Linked DNA regions of Lepisosteus oculatus. Each later gene encodes a partner of the first gene's protein in a complex. Links are inferred from orthologs where the notes say so. Each region holds a gene or a part of one and is shown in the gene's direction. Other genes may lie near its edges.

Region 1 (9,540 bases):
TTAGCTGTAATGGTATTAATATTATTACAGAAATTACACAACAATTCATGTGTTCTTAAACTCTTCTCTTTTCCCCTGGCAGAGAGGAGAGGTATTTACAGTTAAGATGCACTGAGGTTTTTTTCCATGCAAACTATTTACAGTTTAACAGTGTACACAGTGTACACCATTTCAGTTATAAATCATTACCTGGCACAAATATATGCATTTCCCAAATTCTATGCTTGAAAGACTTGATGGTATCTATAATTCAGAGGCTGGGGCATTGTGGTGTGAGTCCTTTAACTCATTACTGTGGATTGTTTGGGAAATCCCAATGGCTTTTCTGAAAAGGGAGATGAAAATTGGAGTTGCTCAACTTTGTTTAAAAGCGTTACTGGTAGACTTCCAGGGCTCTTCAACAATTTGCCATATGTTTCACAAACTCTATCTTATCTGAAATCAGAAGACCAATTGTTAAAAGAAGTTGAATACAATGGAGGGTAAAATATTAATTTACTTTTAATGCACCAGTGTCCCATAACACAGCTTGAAACTGTCTGAGCTCTCAAGTCCAGCAATCAAATTTAACAAGGCACCCCTTGCCTTTCAAAAGGTAATTTAAAGAGGAAATGGGAAAATAACCTAGCATAAAAAACACTAGTAACTTTCAGTCTGAATGCAAGAACCTTATGTAATGAGCTAAGAGAAAAGAGAGTCTTTGTGATTGCTCCTGTTTGTAGGGTATTCATGGACAATGGCTTACAAAGGCATAAAATACAATCCATGTTTCAAATGAGGATCACCTAGAGATCAAATTAGACCATTACAAATGATAAGGCACAGTTGATGAATTCTAGAGGGCACTGATAGCATCTCTTTTGAAGGAAATGCTGGTATGAAAAAAGGGTAGCTAGAAAAGGTTAGACTAAGGCAAAACAAGAGATCATTACTGCCACTGATCCTACCACAAGCCATTTTGAAAGCAGAACATTTTTGATTGTCCCTTATTTATCATTTGTCTTCTATTGATAAGTCATCAAGGATACTGAAACTAAAAAATTCAAATACTTTGGCTATGATCAGCTTTAATTTATGGAGCTCCTTTCAGTAAACATACCCGGCTAACCATTTGTACAGTGGTTGTTTTTACTTTGTGTTTCTTTTCCTCAGTGTCTTTGCCAGGGGGACTCTCCCTCTGTTAACTGTGAGAGATATAAATGATTCAGATGGCAAAGATGATGTTCTCATTTATAATTAATGGATGTACTAAGAGCATACTGAGAAAGGGGGAGCTGGATATCAATGGTTGCATCTCTTGTGTTCGGGCAACTTTTACAGTAGATATAGGGGTTACGTATGAGTGCAAGGAAAGTTGGAGACTTTCTGTTTGTTGGGGAGTGAGGGTGGGGAGAAGAAGGTATTTAATTTTGTATCCCTAGAGCTCCCTTAAAATCGAATTAATCTGCAGTAATTAATTGAACAAGGCAGCGATGGGTCTCATTATCAGCAAGAAACCTTAAGAGAACAGAAAATGACCCACTATGTTTAGGGTTTATCATATCAAAACTTAAACAATTCCTATTTTTTGGGATTCACACAATTGTGGGCGACATTCCAGGATAACTGGCGGGTTACTGAATCGTGGCTACTGCACATAGCAAAAAACTGCAACAAAGTTCTGTAGCTGTAAAAAGAGGTTCATGAAATTAAGATACACCTTTCATGGGCTGATGGGTTACTTAGTCACCTAGATGGCAATAGTAATACAGTAGTGTATAATGAGGTCATGAGGATTTCCACCTTAAAATGTACTGTATGGTTCATCATCAAAACTCCATTCTAGATCACAGAGGAAAAGAAAACTGCACCGAGGTCCCAATATTTTGTTTTTGTCCACATCCCAGCAGTCAGCAGAAAACCCATTCTCTGAGAACGAGTGTCAACAGAGCCATCTGCTTTTTGTCATACTGTAACCCCAGAGCATGACCAGTTTAGCATTGCTTGTCATAAGGTGGACCTTCACAGCATGGACTGTTATCTTCGTCTAAACCCAGGTCAGTGGCAAGGATAGCCAGTTCATAGGGAGCTGAGAATCCTCAAGTTGATACTGCCTTATGTAAAATCACAGAAGATCTCATGTATCTGTTTACTGCTTGTGAGAGATCCTGGCCACAATGAGATATTAAAACAGTGTAAGATCACTTTATTAGCCATATACAATTTCTTGCATTAAGAATTTGTCTTCTCGCATACCCCAGCTTGCTTTCCATGAGACACAGACACAGACAGGGAGAGAAGCTCGGGGTCAGAGTGCAGGGTCAGCCATTGTACAGCGCCCAAGGAGCAATTGGGGTTAAGGGCCTTGCTCAGGGGCCCAACGGAGTAGGATTCCTCTGCCGGCCCCGAGATTTGAAGTGGCAACTGCTCTGCCCCCCAGTATATGAACTAGGTTTTTCTTAAACTAAGAGACCTTGCAGGATATTATTCTATGCGTTTCTCAGAATGAAAGATTTTCTAAATATGATGTTTATGAATTTGTGTTTTTGGCATGATAACTTGTCAAAATGTATGCAGCATGCGAGCCAAGACACTCTTGCTAATGAGAAGACATAACTCTCTCAAAATAATATAATTTAACTGAATCAAATGGAGTTGAAAAAAAAAGTTGCTTTTAATGGAAATTGCCTGTGAAGAAGATGACAAATAGTCATTTGTATATTAAGGAAATAAAATTGTGATCAACACCCAGTGGAGAGTACAACTATGACTGAAAAAATATTTGCTTACTAATGTATTTTTTTTTCATACAAGTGAGTTCATTCTTACTAAGAAATTAGGATTTTTTTTTAATATGGGTGATATTACACAAAAGTCCCATGCTGACATTTTCCTGTACTGTAAATTATATATGAACTTAAGTGGGCTGAATATCTATGCATTGAAACACTTTAATTATAGAACAGGTATGGCTGTATGGCTTTAACTGAATACCAAGTACAGTACCATGAGCTGTTTGTTCTACTGAAAAGAAATGCTCAGTTTACATTATTTTTCAATGTATGTATTTGATTCCAGACTGGAGAAAAGCAGTTTCAATTTCAGCTGAGTGAAAATGTTCTTGTAAGGTAATAATGATTTTAATAAATACAACACGAGGAAACTGTAAAATCATCACAACATTGCTTCAGATAGTCTTCCCAGACACCTGCTCCAGTACTGATTTCATTGCATAACTGTATTATTCCTTACCAATAAAATTCTGACCTCGTAAAAGACACAATTCAGAGAAGCACAGATGGACTACCTTTTTTAAAGCTCTGTATATTACTCTTTTGGGTCAGATTTCAATGAAAATGAGGAAAGGAAAAGACTTTTTGAAGAAGTGCCTTGGAGGAGAGGGCAAATTAATAAGATGTGGGAGATTCAGTCATATCTGACAAAACAGGACCCTGTGGCAGATTCAGGAGGGCTTTTATGGCTCAGCTTGGAACACTTCCATTAATTTTGCACTTGCCAGCAAGAATTTTTATCATGATATGGGTTTGAGGTACTGGCCCCTTGAGAGATCAGAAAATAAACCACTGGTGGTCCACTTTTTCTTATGTGCTGCCAAAGAGGCACTTACTGTGTCAAAGTTGCCTACCTTTCAAAATAACTGCTTTAAAATATTAACTCAGAGCTGAGATGAGAGCTAAAGGATACGCATTCTTATTTAAACAATGATAGAAATGCAAACATTGGGGACTAGAATTTATTTCTCCTATTAAAAGCTGTTTTCTAGAATTAACCTTGCCTGCCTTGTTAGAAATTCTTACCCATAGCACAACATGGCTTCATTTCCACAATTTGGGTATTTATAAATGGTCTGTTTAGACACTCCCCACACAGAACCTTCGGCACTCCTCCCAGCCCACCTTTGTTTTGTTAGAGAGACCTCTCTGAAAACTCAAAGGGGTTTTAGAGCAGACCTGATCTCCCACCATCACAATGTGCCCAAATTCCACTACCTAAAAACAACAACTGTTAAGAAAAAAATACCTCAGCTACTTAATTTAGAGGAGATACAAAAAAACAAACAAAATATAAATTATTTAAGTTTAGCATCTTAATGTATGGGGAGAAAAACAATATTTTGTGATGTTGCATTCAAAAAGACCTTTTGGGAGAATTAGAAAGTATTACCATAGACACAACAAAAAAACGTATATGAGTAATTATGATAGAGGACAGTTTCAGCTTCTGGAGAGACTTAGCCAAAGCAAAAAGACACTACAAAAAAATAAAATAAAAGTGCTGCAGAATCTTAAAGCTGGACCATACAAGCTGTTTCACCTGCTATATTGTAATGAAAAATGCAAGAAAATGCTCACTCTTCATTTTGTGGACAGAGGAGACCTATTGCTGACAGAACAAATAAACTGTACTTTGCTGCTACGTACTGTAGCTTGTCCTGCAACTGAACGTGTTGCTGTTTGTGTAGTTTTCCTCTATACATGAATATAAAGTAATAAAACACAAAAAGAAACAAGCTCGCCACCTTGTGTTAAAACTGAGAAAATTTAATGCGGGAATACAGTTCATACAGGAGAAAACAGCTAATAAAACCAAAAATATAATGTTTTTATACAACATAGGTACAATTTTTGACATGTTCATTTGATTACATTGTATTTTTCTTTCATGGCTCAAATTTCATTTACATGTCTTTATAAATATTTACTTATTCAGAAAGGACAAGTACGCACACCTACTGTGATAAGAAGAAAGAAAGCATCTTAATCCATTACATCTTAATATAAGCATCATCTGCAAATGTTCCCAAAATACTTTCGAAAATCATCATTAAGCCATCGGTAGCACAGCTGTAGTATAAAAATCAATAATTGTATGACACAATGTATTTTATAGCTCTTTGTACAATTATTTTGAAGTATACGTGTTTTAATTGCACTGTATTTTTGAGTACATATCGCCCTCATGTGGATATTCCCGGTATTATTAGAAACATGCAATGAAGGGTTATTTTTCAATATTATTTATGATTATTTCAGAAAGTTGTGACCAACTAATCTGCACATGTGTCGAAATGAGTCATTACCATCACATATATGTGGTTTGTTGTTATTTTTCGAATAACCTCTTTTGTTGTAACCTTTCTGGTTGGAAAAAAAATCAAAATAACCGCTTTTTCCGTTATCAAATAGAGCTGCAATAAAACTGTCGTGGCATTTCAACATTTGCAATGTAACTTTTTTGCATTAAAATTAAGTTGACATACATAATCCATGGGTATATTTTTTTTTATTAAGACTAGTTACAAAACAAGAAAAGCGTTACCAGCCTGTCGTCGTGATAATAAATTCTTCCCTCGAAATGAATGGGTGTTGTGTATATATAAGTACTGCACACTATAGGCCTACAGCTCAAGTAATTATACCGTATATCCCTACTTTGTGTGAATAGGTTGTATATAAAAAAAAAAACACCTATCCTCTTCAAATGTAATTTAAACCAAATGGATGTTTTACGTGACTTACGAAGTCCCGCTATTTTTTTTGTACCTGTACGTGGGAAGTCCTGCGTGTTGACGCAGCGGCGCAAAGGTGGCAGCTGTGCGGTCCCGCACTGCTCTGTAACCGGGGAGATCGCTTGTAGTTTCCAAGTCTCGGTTTGGCAGCGGAGCTTTGTTCGCAGGATTTGCTGTTTAGCTCCTTTCCGTGTCTTTCAGGAAAGTGATAGCTTTCGACAGTTTCAACAGCCTGATCGCATTCCCTGAAATAACCCGATCGGAGTGACTGCTGGTGAGGTTTTTTTTTTTTTTTTTGGGGGGGGGGGGGGGGTTGTGTCTTTCTCCTGAGTTTCTAAGTCTTTAAACCTTGCAGCCCGGATGCAGTGAGCAGGAGCCTGCGGCCTGCCAGAGCGGAGTTGGAGCAGCGGCCTCGAGTTATGTCAACCCCCCGAAAGCCGCAGGTTGGAGGAGCGGCGGGCTCAAGGCCTGGGACGAGTAGCAGTAGCAGCAGCAGCACCACCACCACCAGCAACAGCAACAGCAACAGCAGCAGCACCAGTAGCAGCAATAATGCCAGAAACACAAGCAGCGGGAGTGGTAACACTAGTAATGGGACCAATTCTGCAAATGTTGTCTCTTCACGGACACTGGGAAGTGGAGCCGAGGGGTTACCTGTGGCCGCTTTGGGGATCCCTACTTCCCGAGTTACTCCAGCTTCTCTGGCCAGACCCGGCTCGTCCTCTGGAAGCAGCAGAAAACGTCCTCTTCCAACACCCCTTTGCAATGGCCTCATAAACTCGTACGAAGACAAGAGCAACGACTTTGTGTGGTGAGTTATTTTTGTTGTTGTTTTGAGGGGGGGCATTTAAATTCCATAAGGCCGACATGAATCATGCCGACTGAGGCATTTTTTTGGATTGTTCTGAAAGTGAAGAAATTAAGATACCGGTGCTGGTTTTTGGTATTGTGTTTTTTGCCCCCTGAATGTTTATATATATATATTCCCCATTTTATAAATAGTACAACACGTAATTACTCTCATCTGCACTATTGAAACATTGTGCGAAACGGGACCCAACATCAGCTCGTAAAATCAATCATCTCCCATCAGACATTTGTAGTTATTATGTTTTTGAGTAGGACATTTTCGAGTTCGACGAGGATTTGAAATTACAGACGACAGCATAATGGTCAAAATTAAAAAAATAGATTCAGCCCCATTTAGATGCATTTTTTTGGCGACAGCTTTACATTCTGGATTTGTGGGCTATACAATAATGTGTATTCCTGCCTGCAGCTGAGTTACTGCGTTTACTGGTACACGTTTGTCTTTATTCGAATGAATGGATGTTGTAGGTCAAACATTTGTCTGGTCTGAATTGGTCACGTTTTTTTTTCTCTCTCCTGAAAATGGCAGTTTAGTACTAAGCAAGCCAAACTAATTTCCTGCTTTACACAACACAGTAGTTGGTTTTTGGTTGTCAGATGTCAACAAACGTTCGGGATGCCACAGTGAAAATGGAAGGTTTTTCCTCCTCTTTGCCTTTTCGGCAAAAAAAAGTTTTCTTTTGTTCTTACAAAGTACAGTACCTCTTGCACCCCAGGATTAAGACAGTGCCCGTACGTTGCTGATCACTGTCAAACGTGATGTGTTAAACCTGTCGCAATCTTTCAGGACTGGCTGATTGCTTAATGTTTGTTCTTTTTGGCTTTGCAAAGTCTTGACATTATGTCCTACTTTTATGTGATGCCTACATAATTATTAGCATGTTATTTTTTTGTCCATGATTTTTTTTTATTTAGGAACAAATTTCTTTTCTGACTATTGTTGAGAGCTTAAGATAATTCAGTTGTTATATGCCATTTTCATGGTCCTTCAGCAATAAAACATTATTGTGTCTTCCAATTGCACACCTCCTTACCACCATAAATCCGCTCTATACTGTATTGTACAATAAATGATTAACTCTCGTTTTTGTTTTGTTTTTTCTAATTTTGTATCTTAAGGAAATGTGCTATATAGTGCTTGGTACTGTTTTCTAAAGGCCCATACATATTCTATTTAATTATAGCAATATATCCGTGTTCGTTTTTAATGATCGTGAAGTCTCATTTGTGCAAAGTGTGGTGATCTTTAAAAATATAGACTGTACTAGCTTTAGTGAATTGTGTAAATTAAATAATCTGTTGCAATATGATTTGAATTGTTTTTAATGTGAACCTTTTTTTCAGCCCAATCTGTTTTGAAATGATTGAGGAAGCTCATATGACAAAATGTGGGCACAGCTTTTGGTAAGTAATCATTTAAGCATTAAAAGAAGAAAAATGTATCAAAAAATTTGTGGTGCACTTAAGGTAGCATTAGTTGGGATTTTAATTAGCTCTTTTATGTATTATTCTGCATTACTCAGCATAGTTTCACAACTACCTTAATAGAGAAAGTGCAAAGCTACGTTAACAAAGTACAGCAGAAATCACATGTGAAAAGTTAAGTTAAAATTTCTGTCACATAGTTTCTTCATTTGAGACTTGCCATACTAAGCACCTTCAGTATCTGAATGTTTTATGCTGACTTCATGATTTATTTGATAAACGCTATTAAAGTAGCTTTTTTGGTAATGATAATCTACTGTACTACTAGTGAACTGCTTGACGTGTATGCTATTAGTAGATTCCTTAATTGCTGCAGTCTATTCTAGTTGTAGACAGTGCTTTTTATTGTAGGAAAATGTAATTGTTGGATTCAGTCTGTCTCATTTTTGTCAGTACTGGTGGGTTTTGGAAGTTTTATAAAAATGTAAGTTTTATTTCCCTATAATCATTTTGTGATTAACACAGAGTGCATTTTTATACAAATGGGTTTTAGGATATGCTAAATCTTAATTTTATTGCACAGAGCTATATGCTCTAAGCTTGTGCTTTTATTGTTGTTTTTAGAACTTAAATGTGCAGTAAAATGTTTTTGGGAACATAGGAATTAGAGTATTTTTTTAATATGTAATCATCTTATATTTTAAATGAACAGTGATGAAAAAGTCTGTTTTTTATGCACCGTTTGTCAGCATTTTTTTTACTGGTGTGCATTTCTTTTAGTTACAAGTGTATTCGGCAGAGTTTGGAAGACAGCAACAGGTGCCCAAAGTGTAATTATATTATTGATAATGTGGATCAGCTGTTCCCCAATTTTCTAGGTAAGTCCAGTAATGTCTAAATGAAAAGACAATGCATTTATTGAACCCCCATCGATGCAATCCACATCCGTCTGGTTGTGGAAGTAAAATACATTTATTGATAACAAAATATTTTTGTTCTTTGTTTGAGACCAAATATTCTGCTAAGTATGTACAAATAAATACAGTTAACATTAAGGTAATTGTCCATCAGTGGGATGAGATTGCCAGAGAAGAGAGCTGGAATTTGTTAAATAAAGTGAAAATCAAAAGTCCTCCTCTAATGCGAAGCTTTTACAGTTTACAACATTTCTGTTTAAGTATGCAGTAGAGTATATTTTGGTAAAAGGATCCTATTTTATAACTGGTCTCTGGAGGAAAACAGTTTTTCTTTACACCAACTGAAGTGTACTGTGTGAATATCGTTGAGATTAAAAGGCTTCATATTTTTTTGTTTTTCTGTTGATTTTCATTCTTGTTTCCACACCTGAGTAGTGAATGAACTTATCCTCAAACAGAAACAGAGATCAGAAGAAAAACGTCTTAAACTGGACCATCCGGTGAGAATTCAGTTCCAACTATTTTTTGTATTTTGTGTATACAGAAATTGCTTTTGATAAAGTTTCTAAATTGTTTACAAATTTGGAATCATTGGCTCTCCTGTATCTGGATTTTTGACTTCACATTTTTTTACACAGCAAATGTTTTGGTTTATGATTGGGCTGTAAAACTTTGGAGCCAGTAAAAATGCCATGTCAGCACTTGGGGTTAAAATGTGTTGCTGAAAAATATTTAAAAAAGGAGACGATCAACCCAGTAATGGCAGTAACCAGCAGTATTTTGTGACTGTTGGAACGCAAAATGCACAAGTGGGAAAAC
Region 2 (9,755 bases), on another chromosome or scaffold:
CTCTTTTACTTTCTCTATTACTTTACTTCAATTGCAACTAGAGAGATGCACTTTCCAGGAGGTCAGGGTTGGAGAGAGGTTTCATTCAAAACTCATACTCATTACATTTGCAAATGTTAATGGATTGCAACTGTTATTGGTTTGAAAAGATAAAGAACCTATTTTGAATTGCTGAGGTGGGTTAAGTTTTGCATAGCCAGACAGCTTAGGATGAATATAAAGACTTCAGAAGAAAAAAACAGCATATTACTAGGGTCTTTTGTGCATAGGGAAAAAAAAGTGTTGAAAGTAAATAAGGCTAATTTCATAATCTGCTAATTCTCTTGCTTTCCCTTCAGGTGCCCTGTTGTTGGATGTGGTAACACTGATGTAACAAAGTCAGACCTGGTGCCAGATCCTACAATGAAGAGGCTCATTCAGAGCCAGAAGAAGCTCAGCACAAAGTCACAAATGTGAGGCAGGAACCTGCACAAACGAGTGTGCAGAAGGCTTTGTTTGAAACAGGAGCAAGCTACTGGAACCAGTGCCCTTTCACCAATAGTCTCGGACAGTTTGAAACAGAGGGAAAGAGCTGTCAGTTCAGTCACATAATGGAACTCTTAGAGGAGGCAAGCAGTATTGGATGGACACGAAAAATGTCTGCTTTAAGCATTTTATGCTTGGTGTAATTCGTGTAATTTGAGGCCTGGCAGTCATGTAAAAATCACATCGGGAAAAGACAGTGGTACCCCATCCTGTTACTTACATTATCATCATCATTTGGTTGCCGAAATTTATTTTTTTGCAGCGTCCCAGCTGTCTGAGTGAATTTATAAAAGATGGAATTCCAAGACTTAAAACAAATTTGTATAGACTCTGTTTTTAGCACTCTGCAGTGCTTTTTGACATGAGTTAATAAGCAGTTCAAAAGTTTCATGTATTAAAAATGGACACTTTCTTCAACGACACCCCACTGAGCCTTCTTAGTCATTAGCTGTGATTGTACAGAGATCTGTGTTAGTGTCAGCCTTGTGTTGCATATTCTATCAAAGATCACTCTTCACCATCTGATTAATGCAGACCAATCCCTTTCCGGTCAGACTAATAGAATTGTCCTGTTTCAAAGAAATTCCTTTATAAAAATGCAGGTTACTAAGTTTGCACTTAATAGTTATGAGTAATGTGTGAAGGTAATGTTGAGCCTACGGTAAACTTCATTACTTGTTTCCATTTAATTTACCCATGCATTTCATTGTTTAAAAAGAGAAATAAGAAAACAGTTGACTTTTAACATCCCCAATACTATTTGCAGATATTTCCTCTGTTTAAATCTCCCTTGGCTGATAATTAAAAAAACAGGGAAGAGCTGAGTTTCAGAGGACCCGTTGACATTAGATGTGAGATTTTTTCTTTCAAAACAGAAAACAATTGTTTCCTTATTTTTAAGTTTCTTACCACATCACGCCATATGTCATTTGCATTAATGAATGATTCAGAACATGAAAATGTGTTTTTTTTAACTGATTAAAGTAAGTTAACAAAAAGTCACTGATTATTTCTGGCCCCTGGCCATGCAGCTTTTTAAACAAAAGATGACAGACTGAAAGTAACAGCTTTGAAAATGAAAGTAGCACTGCCTTCTTATCTAAAGGAAAGACAGACCTGTTTCACAGTGGTTCTGCTGCATGACAGAGATGTGCTTCAGTTTGTGAGTCAACAGTGAAAAAAGGACAAAAATGCACGATGTCTAAAATTAGATGTATAATCTGTTGTGTACTGTGCCTTGTACTCCATTCAATACTGATTGATTCCATAACCAGCTGTCAGCTTAGTACTGTGGATTTTGTGTGTGCTCAGAAATTAGCAATAGTGACACAAAAAATATTTTTTATTAATTTTGCATTTGTTTTTTATTGTTTCAGTTCTGTTTCTGTTTGATTTGATATGTTCGCAAATGCACGTTCACCTGTTCAGAATGTTTTAGATTTTTCTGACCCATTAAAAAAATAATAATAATAATAATGTAGTCCCCACCAGTGATTTTATTCATTGGATACATTCAGTTTTCCATTGAATGCCTTCTTTTATGGTTAATGTGACGGTCTAAACTGGGGAAGGGCTGTTACCCAGTTGTGTTCAGAGGGTGCAGACTACCCCGCTACACTGGTGAAAGCAGTGGCCAATTTACTAGAAATAACAACACCCAAGAATGAACCGTTCTGAAAGGATTACGGAATGTTTCAGTCGAAATCTGGCTTAACCCGCTTGGCTGAGGGCAGACCTCCTGGCCAGGAGAGGAGGAGAAGGAGGAGGAGGCTGGGACCCCCTGCAGAGTGAGGAGTGACCTGGGGGCAGCTGCAGAGGGGGAGACACACATGACACTCCCCACACGATCTTGGGCAAAAGGCCGAGAGGGCTGTAGAAGTGGAGATGGGATTGAAAAAGACGTGTGGGAGGGAGAGAAGGGGGATCACCTACAGTATTTGCAGTGTTTTTGGAGAGGAAATGACGACAGCTGTGAGTGCAAATTAATGACAGCTGAGTCTGATTAAACCGGGCTGTTGTCATCCCTTCCGAAAAGAATGGGTGCAGACATTGTTTTTGTTGCTAAAGTCGTACTGTATATAGCCATTACTGCACTACCAGGTCTGGAGATTCCTGGCTACAGTTGTTTGATGAGATGGCCTTTGATCCAAATGAGCTCCAGTACAGGATGAGCAATAGCAGAACTCCTCCGAGGTCCAGAACGTACGAAAGGTTATGAATGGAAGGGGGCCGGTCAGCTCTGCCAGCCCATCTGGTACTTGGTAGTTAATGGATCCAGAGATCTCATCCAGCTGTTTCTTGAAGGGAGCAAAGAAGTATCGCCTACAGCCACATGGCTGTGTAGCTTATTCTGCACTCCCACAACCCTCAGGGCAAAGATGTGCCTCCTGTTTTTCAGATATTAAGTGAACTTCCACACCGTTTCCATTTGTGTCCTCGAGGATTTTGAATACTTGTAGTCTTCTCCTCTTCTCTGTTCAAGACTAAAAAGGTCCAGTTCCTTCAGTCTGTCAGGGTCCCACCAGTGCGAGTCCCGGGAGTCATCTGGCTGCTCTTCCCAGGACTGATTTCAGAACAGCAAGCTGGAATTATGGAAATACGGAATTAATCATTACATTGTTCTGCTTTGAACTTCCATTTGAAATGCAAATGCCTGCCCGCATTTCAGACCTCATTCTCTCACACTGGTGCAGGCACATCTTTACTGGAAGGGTGTTGTGAACAGTGGAGCATTCATACTGTATCTTGCACAGCAGGGCAGAAGTAAGGCTACAGAGTGCTGTATTCACAGGCACGAAATTAGTGCTATGTTTTGTTTCTCTAGTTTCTGTGGTTCATCACGTCAGGCAGGGTCCATGGTTCTCCCACTAATGTAATGAATTGGCATTTCTGAAGTAAGTTACAGTGAGCAGCAGACCTGCTGGTACTGTGTGTTCTTAGATCACAATAGATGACTTGCTGTTCATCGTAGCTCAAGATGACGGTGGAAATACTGTATTAAAATGGGTTGTTTTGAGGCATGTTTTGTAGAAGCAGGGGTTACTTTCCTGCGGCTGTATGCCGGTAAATTGTTATTTTGCCATTTTTTATTCTTATTTTTTAAGAGATATGGGATAACATTTTTTGTCATACCTAGCCCTCTAAAGGAGCAAGATTCTTTTGTGTGATGTGTTGTTTACATATACAGTACTATCACACAATGCAGTCAGACAATTGGAGTAAGGTACACTGTGGTGCAACCTGATTGTGATAGTCCAGACGGTTGTGTAAAAGGAGGCTTATCATTTAAAGAAGTACATCTTTGTTAAAATAAAACTATATGAAAGCCTTGCTGGACTTTGGCAACAGATTTACTCACAAGTGACAATATGAGCTGTTGCAGAATGAATGCTTTAGAAATTGTGAAAGATTTGCCACACACTGGTGGTGTGAGAGATGAAATACTTGGAAAACTGAAATCAAAAGGGTCCATTTATCAGGTCTAGTTTGTTTTGAAATCACCTAAGGGGAATGTTAAGGCGATTTCTACACCTCAGAGTGTCTAATCGTGAATATTATCACACTGTTGAGAAAACATGATTACTGCATATTTTATTGCATTTCAAATTGACCACGTTACCCCCATTTCCCAGTATCTTATCATTGTACATTTCGTTGGCACAGAGTTCAGAATTTTTTCCATTTAATTTCCTCATCATGTCATGAAGACGTTCCTGTTCGCGGTATTTATGAGTAGTAAATAACTATGACTTCTCCCAAAACATCGCTGTCTGTTTGAATTCTGACTGCAATTGGTGGCCAACAAGATAAACTGTCAGAAAAGGCTTAATTCCAATATGGCAGAATTAAGTAGGGCGTTCCGAGACTTGGCAAAAAATTCATCCGTTTGGTCAGTTAACGCTATCCTTTTCATGACAGGTAATTAACGAGCTAAATCTGGACCTTATTCCTGTTAATAAGTAGCTGCGAAAGAATGTAATTTAGTACCGTGGTGTGTATTTATACCGTGCAGTGCTGTGCATTCCGGATATTTATGATGATCGAAAATCATGAATTGGGAAATATTTTTGAAAGTGGACTCGCTATTTATAAATGAACTGCGCGTTCGTAGTTCAGATTTTGTTAACCGCGCACCTTCCTGCGTGCCTGTCTGCATGTTGGAAGTTTTAGCCCAGAATGCACGACTGCCTTTTTGAGAGAAAAAAGGACCGATCGTTTGGATGCCGCATTTTTTTTATACCACTGTGCCCGTCACTATCCAGCTGCAAATTCCTGGGCTCAAATGAAGCTTTAAAGTGGATTACTGTTGTTGGAAGGAACACAATTACGATCGCGACGCGAATGAATATCGTTTAAAGGAACCGCGCCACCATTATCTTTGATCAGCGTGATAATGTAAAGAGAGTGTGCTAATTATTCGAAAACAATGTAACACTTAATTGGACACACCTGCTGTTCATCCAGTACTCTACTGGCTTTCCCGCAACGTCACATAAATTACACTTTTATTGTGTTATTATTGTTTAATCTTCTGCTCTTGCTTTACAAATGTGTGGCTTTAGGCATGAACAGCAATAACCGGCTGCCCGAGTTTCACCTGCAATTTGTGATTACGCACGCAGCCCATTGCGATGCTTTGTGATGTGTGGTTGTGTGATTGCACAACCGCCGAGGAGGGTTTCTCCTGAAACCGTGTCATAGAAGGGGCCGGTGCGGGCGGAGTTCCAGTTGCACTGCTAAAGAGAAAGGGTTTAGAAATAGCATCTTAGTTTGGGCACCTACTGAATCAGCGAGGTCATTCTCGCATCGAGAAACCCACGGCGCACGCTTTCTGTCGAGCGTTTCTATTTGACTTGAGTGGAACAACTTTTTTTTTCTTCTGTGCTTTGTGAGGTCCGCCTCACATATCAACAGTTAAATCGGGAGGCAGCGCCTGCCTATACATTGAAGTCAACTTGGAGAAAGAAAACAAAAGGACATTGTTCATTCGGAGTTGTACAGAGGTTGTTCTTTTAAAATCCTTACATCGTTGTATTATCTGTGAAGAATCGCAGGATTTACTTAAACTAAAATACTGGGATTATCCTAACCCTGTAATTGTATACAGCACTGGGCATCCGCGGAATCCCAAGGAAGACTAAGTCAATGTGGGGGCTCTTGGAAATTCTTTAATATCCGAGTTAAAAGTGTTTGTCTGAATGCTGGCCCACATGAGTTGGAACGCGCAGCGAACCAGTCCGATCCCATTTTTTCGCAATGGGAGGTGCAGATCCAAGAGAGTAGACGCCGAAGAGCCGGTGTCTAAGATCCCGAGGCTGAGCGACTCCGCGAACGACACCGGTTACCTCAGCACTTCCCCGGCGTCCCCGGTCAGCGCAGCCTCGCCCGGCACCCCTGCAAGCCACCAGGGTCTCTCTCGGATCTGCCAGTTCCTGCTGCTGCCCGTTTCCGACAGGGAGGGGGTGCACAGCGCACTCCACATAAACACGGGAGAGGAGTTTGTGTGCAAGGTATGGAAACGGCAGAATGAGGGATTTTAATGATAACAATCGCCCCCTCCCTCCTCCCCCCCGGTTTGGAAGTTATGCATGAGATACGAAAAGCAAAAAAAACAACACGGGCTTCTTGCCAAATACGCGCATGACGATCCCGCGTGACATCCGTAAATTTTTATTAATTGCACAATAAATTTCGCAATTTTAATGCTTTTACACGGGGCATTTTCATATTTTTGCAGACTGATGGTATTCTGCTTCCATAGATCAAATGATCAAATCTTATTTTGGTAAATGGATAAGGTCTGGCGAAGTCTGTATCTGATCTGCCTCTAATGTAAGCGCACACACAAAAAAAACCACTTTGAAGCTCATTAACGCACCAGTCGCCATAAAATTATACGAGGAAGGTGATCGTGTTCGCTGCGTTAAGAAATGTTGTTCATTTGTGTACAACCATGGCAGCGCTGTGCAGCACTACTGTCGCTTTTCAACCTGTGTCCTTAAATCCCTTTCTGTATTAAAAAAAAAAGAAACCCAAGCCCTCATGCCAGGTCACCCGATTACACGCCGTTTTTCTATCTGCTCACCTTGTCGTCCGCGTATGTCGGCTGGAGAAATGACTGCTAGTACTGGCCTCCAGTTTAAACCCGGCATCTTTCTATTCCAAAAAAAAACGATCTGGTATTCAACTATTTTGCTTCCGAATAGCTCTTTAATTGTATTTGTCAATGGATTTGGCAGTGTAAGCAAACGATCATGTTGGTTTTTCGTCTACGTTAAGTGGAGTTCCTGCTGATTTGAGAAAACTGAGGTAAGTGTAGTTAAATGCGATGAACTTCTTCGTGTTTGCGGGTGCGTTTTATTTATATATATATATTCCCTGTGAGATAACCTGATATATTCACCGTACCAGCCTTGACATTGCATTGTAAAAGATACTATACAGACAGTAACATTGGTTTTTTTTCCCCATCAATTATTAGGTGTTTAGCTTGAAACACTACCAGGAAAAGATAAGACCGCACACCATCGTACCAGCGCACAAGAACATTTCCCAGATTAAGGACATTGTTTTGGGGGACCAGAAGGCCTACGTGTTCTTCGAGAAGGACTTTGGGGACATGCATACGTTCGTGAAAGGCTGTAAGAAGCTGAACGAAACGCAGGCCTCCGGGCTGTTCCGCCAGATAGTTTCAGCTGTCTCTCACTGCCACCAGTCTGGGGTCGTGCTGGGGGACCTAAAACTCAGGAAATTTGTCTTCGCGGATGAGAAGAGGTGAGGATGATTTACATTAGTAGCATTTAAACACGAACTGCAGGGCCGTTCAAAAGGCACTAATGTGACTTGGTACCATTGTGTGGAACTCTTTATTTTTGTATCGCCTCATACATTTATCAGAATACTACATTTGTGTGCGGTAAATTGTTTTATAACATGAAGTCCACTGCTTTCAGCTTACTATAGATGGGGAAAGACAATACTGCCGTTCCACGAGGAACTGCCAGAGCTTTTCTCATTTCAAATGATTATTTTTCTATTATATTACTAGCCATTTTATTGTGAGCAGTTTGTTACCTCTAGGGCATCAAACGTCTGATGAGTGTTGGTATGGATCTAAGAGAAACAGACTGCAGAAAACACAGTATACCTCTTTGTAAAATGTAATATATTTGGAGGCCTTTGAAGATAATTGAAGATATATTGGGAATGATTCATTTTTAAGGGAGGGGGGGCGTCTTTAAGGATCACATTAATCTGGGGACAGAAAATGTCTTGTATAAATTGGACACTCATTCTGTTAAGAGGTGAGATTAAGCTGTGGTCTAATGTCATTTTTGTGCATAAAAAGGTGGGAGTACGATATAAACCCCAGTGCCTTGTCTTGTCTTAGCTTCTGCAGACAAACTGAGGACTTCTGGACACTCTGTACATACATAAAAGACTGGGCATACTTGATAAAACCGAAAGTGGTTTCAGTACGCACATATGTTTTTTTATTTCCTTAATGTGAAGGGAGGAACACCACATTTGCCTGCTTGATGCAGCATTTACAGTTTTTACAGCATTGATTCAAGCACCATGCTTACGTCAGAAACGTATTTAAATTGAAAATACCCGCAACCAAAATAAATTAAGGAACTTTTGCAACTGCAACATACAATACTATAATAGGCTTAAGCAGTTGCTGAAACCCAATATTGCAGGCTGCCTTGCTAATTTTGAAATCTGTGTTGCAGCAAAGGCTAATAACGTCATGTGTCACCAATGTGGCAACAGCAGTTTTAGGCAATTAAGCAGAGGCAGGCAAAGGCACAGGTGCTGGCCATTAGAATAGGGGGCAAAGAAGAGATGAACCGCATTGCTAGCTGAGTCATAGTTTCCACATGCTATACCCTGGAATGCTGTAGAAATGTATTCACACTGTGCACCTATTCACTGTCAGGCCAAGATGAAGCAGAACCTGCTACATATTATTGTGGAATAATGCGTTGCTGATGTGGGTGACCTGTGCGAGCTGACTCCATGTCATCTGCCCTTAGAAGGAGAGATTTGTGGGTGTTTTGTCACACAGGTTTTCCTCCTTGATCCCCATATTAGGAAACAAACAAAAGGCTTCTTTTATCGTCTTGGAAATGTTGCTAAACTTAGACAAACTCACTTGGCTGATGTGGAGTGATTAGTGCATGCCTTTGTTTCATCAAAGACTAATTGCATAATGCCGTAGTCTCTGGTATGTCCCTGCCTCGAGCCCATACTGATCACTGTTAACTTCCTACATTTTCTCATTTTACTTTGGTTTGATACCCCCCCCTGTGTGCTTTAATGAGAGGCTTGAAGGTTTTTTAAATCAATTTTAAAGTTTGCCACCCAGTAAAGGCAATCCATATTACGTTCTCTTAGGTGAATTAAAATACATTTTATATCAGCACATTTTTATTGATCAAGTGCACAAGGTGTGCAAGGGATGGCGGTCAGCTTAGTTTTAATTTTTGCATTTGCTTCTTATTTCAAAGGGATATCTGCATTCTTCAGCATTTTTACTAGTAACTGCAGAATTGTAGTTATTTATTTACCACAGTTAACTAGCACATTCCCTAGTAACAGAACAGTTTTCTGATCGCTGAGCTCTGTTTTCTTGCACGTCGTAAAAGTTTCAAGGGTCACAATGCATGAGGGACAACATAAATTAAAAAAAAAAACAAGAGAAATGGGATGATTCTTTCCATCTAAATAATGAGTTAATTTGCATATTGGAAAAAGCAAAAGATTTAAACAATTCCTGAGGTACTGTAGGACAATCTGTTTATGTGCAGCAACAAAGCTGAAACAAGCGCAGTAGTAGATTTTGGAAAACATGTGACTTAATCAATTTTTATTGCAAAGAAGTGGAGCATTCACCTGCAAGATGCAGATGTTCTTTTCTCTGTGTTGAATGCTTCCAAAAGTAATGTGCTTTACCAGTTTTGGAATGCATTAATGTTTGTTCAGTTAAAAGGAAAAATAGTTTTAAAACATTTTGGTTAAAAATGAAGATTAAATTACGTTTTTCATCATCATCTCTTGCCTTTTTGGTCTCAGTAGCTTTGTCTGCCCAGTTCTCATCAAGAGTTCCTCACTGCTGAAAGTTAAAACACCACAAATGCTTCTCGATAAAAAATGAAAATAAACATTTTTTCTTTTTTTTTTTATTCCTCCAGTGTTTGTTTGAACTTGGCTTCTTCATGTATTGT

What was found.
Region 2: the proteins of cop1 (region 1) and trib1 are in contact, whole or in part, in a crystal structure (PDB 5IGQ), measured with the Homo sapiens proteins. The link is inferred for Lepisosteus oculatus from reciprocal best matches to the Homo sapiens genes COP1 and TRIB1. Residues at the interface, in NP_071902.2 of Homo sapiens: Ile423, Ser425, Val441, Lys472, Tyr491, Trp517, Asp534, Ala556, Asn557, Cys559, Ala576, Asp577, His578, Lys600, Ala601, Ser603, Thr618, Lys643, Asn644, Phe645, Phe699; in NP_079471.1 of Homo sapiens: Asp355, Gln356, Ile357, Val358, Pro359, Glu360, Tyr361.

Annotation. Positions count from the first base shown.
Region 1 is NC_090704.1:6,367,417-6,376,956, reverse strand, and holds the start of cop1 (E3 ubiquitin-protein ligase COP1), read left to right. Parts: upstream 1-5,553; 5' UTR 5,554-5,783; intron 5,784-5,864; 5' UTR 5,865-5,928; coding exon 5,929-6,320; intron 6,321-7,723; coding exon 7,724-7,783; intron 7,784-8,584; coding exon 8,585-8,682; intron 8,683-9,156; coding exon 9,157-9,221; intron 9,222-9,540. UniProt on the Homo sapiens protein: E3 ubiquitin-protein ligase that mediates ubiquitination and subsequent proteasomal degradation of target proteins.
Region 2 is NC_090705.1:7,685,652-7,695,406, forward strand, and holds the start of trib1 (tribbles homolog 1), read left to right. Parts: upstream 1-5,069; 5' UTR 5,070-5,723; coding exon 5,724-6,035; intron 6,036-7,006; coding exon 7,007-7,299; intron 7,300-9,755. Other genes in the region: nsmce2 (E3 SUMO-protein ligase NSE2), read left to right, coding at 339-456. UniProt on the Homo sapiens protein: Adapter protein involved in protein degradation by interacting with COP1 ubiquitin ligase. The COP1-binding motif is masked by autoinhibitory interactions with the protein kinase domain.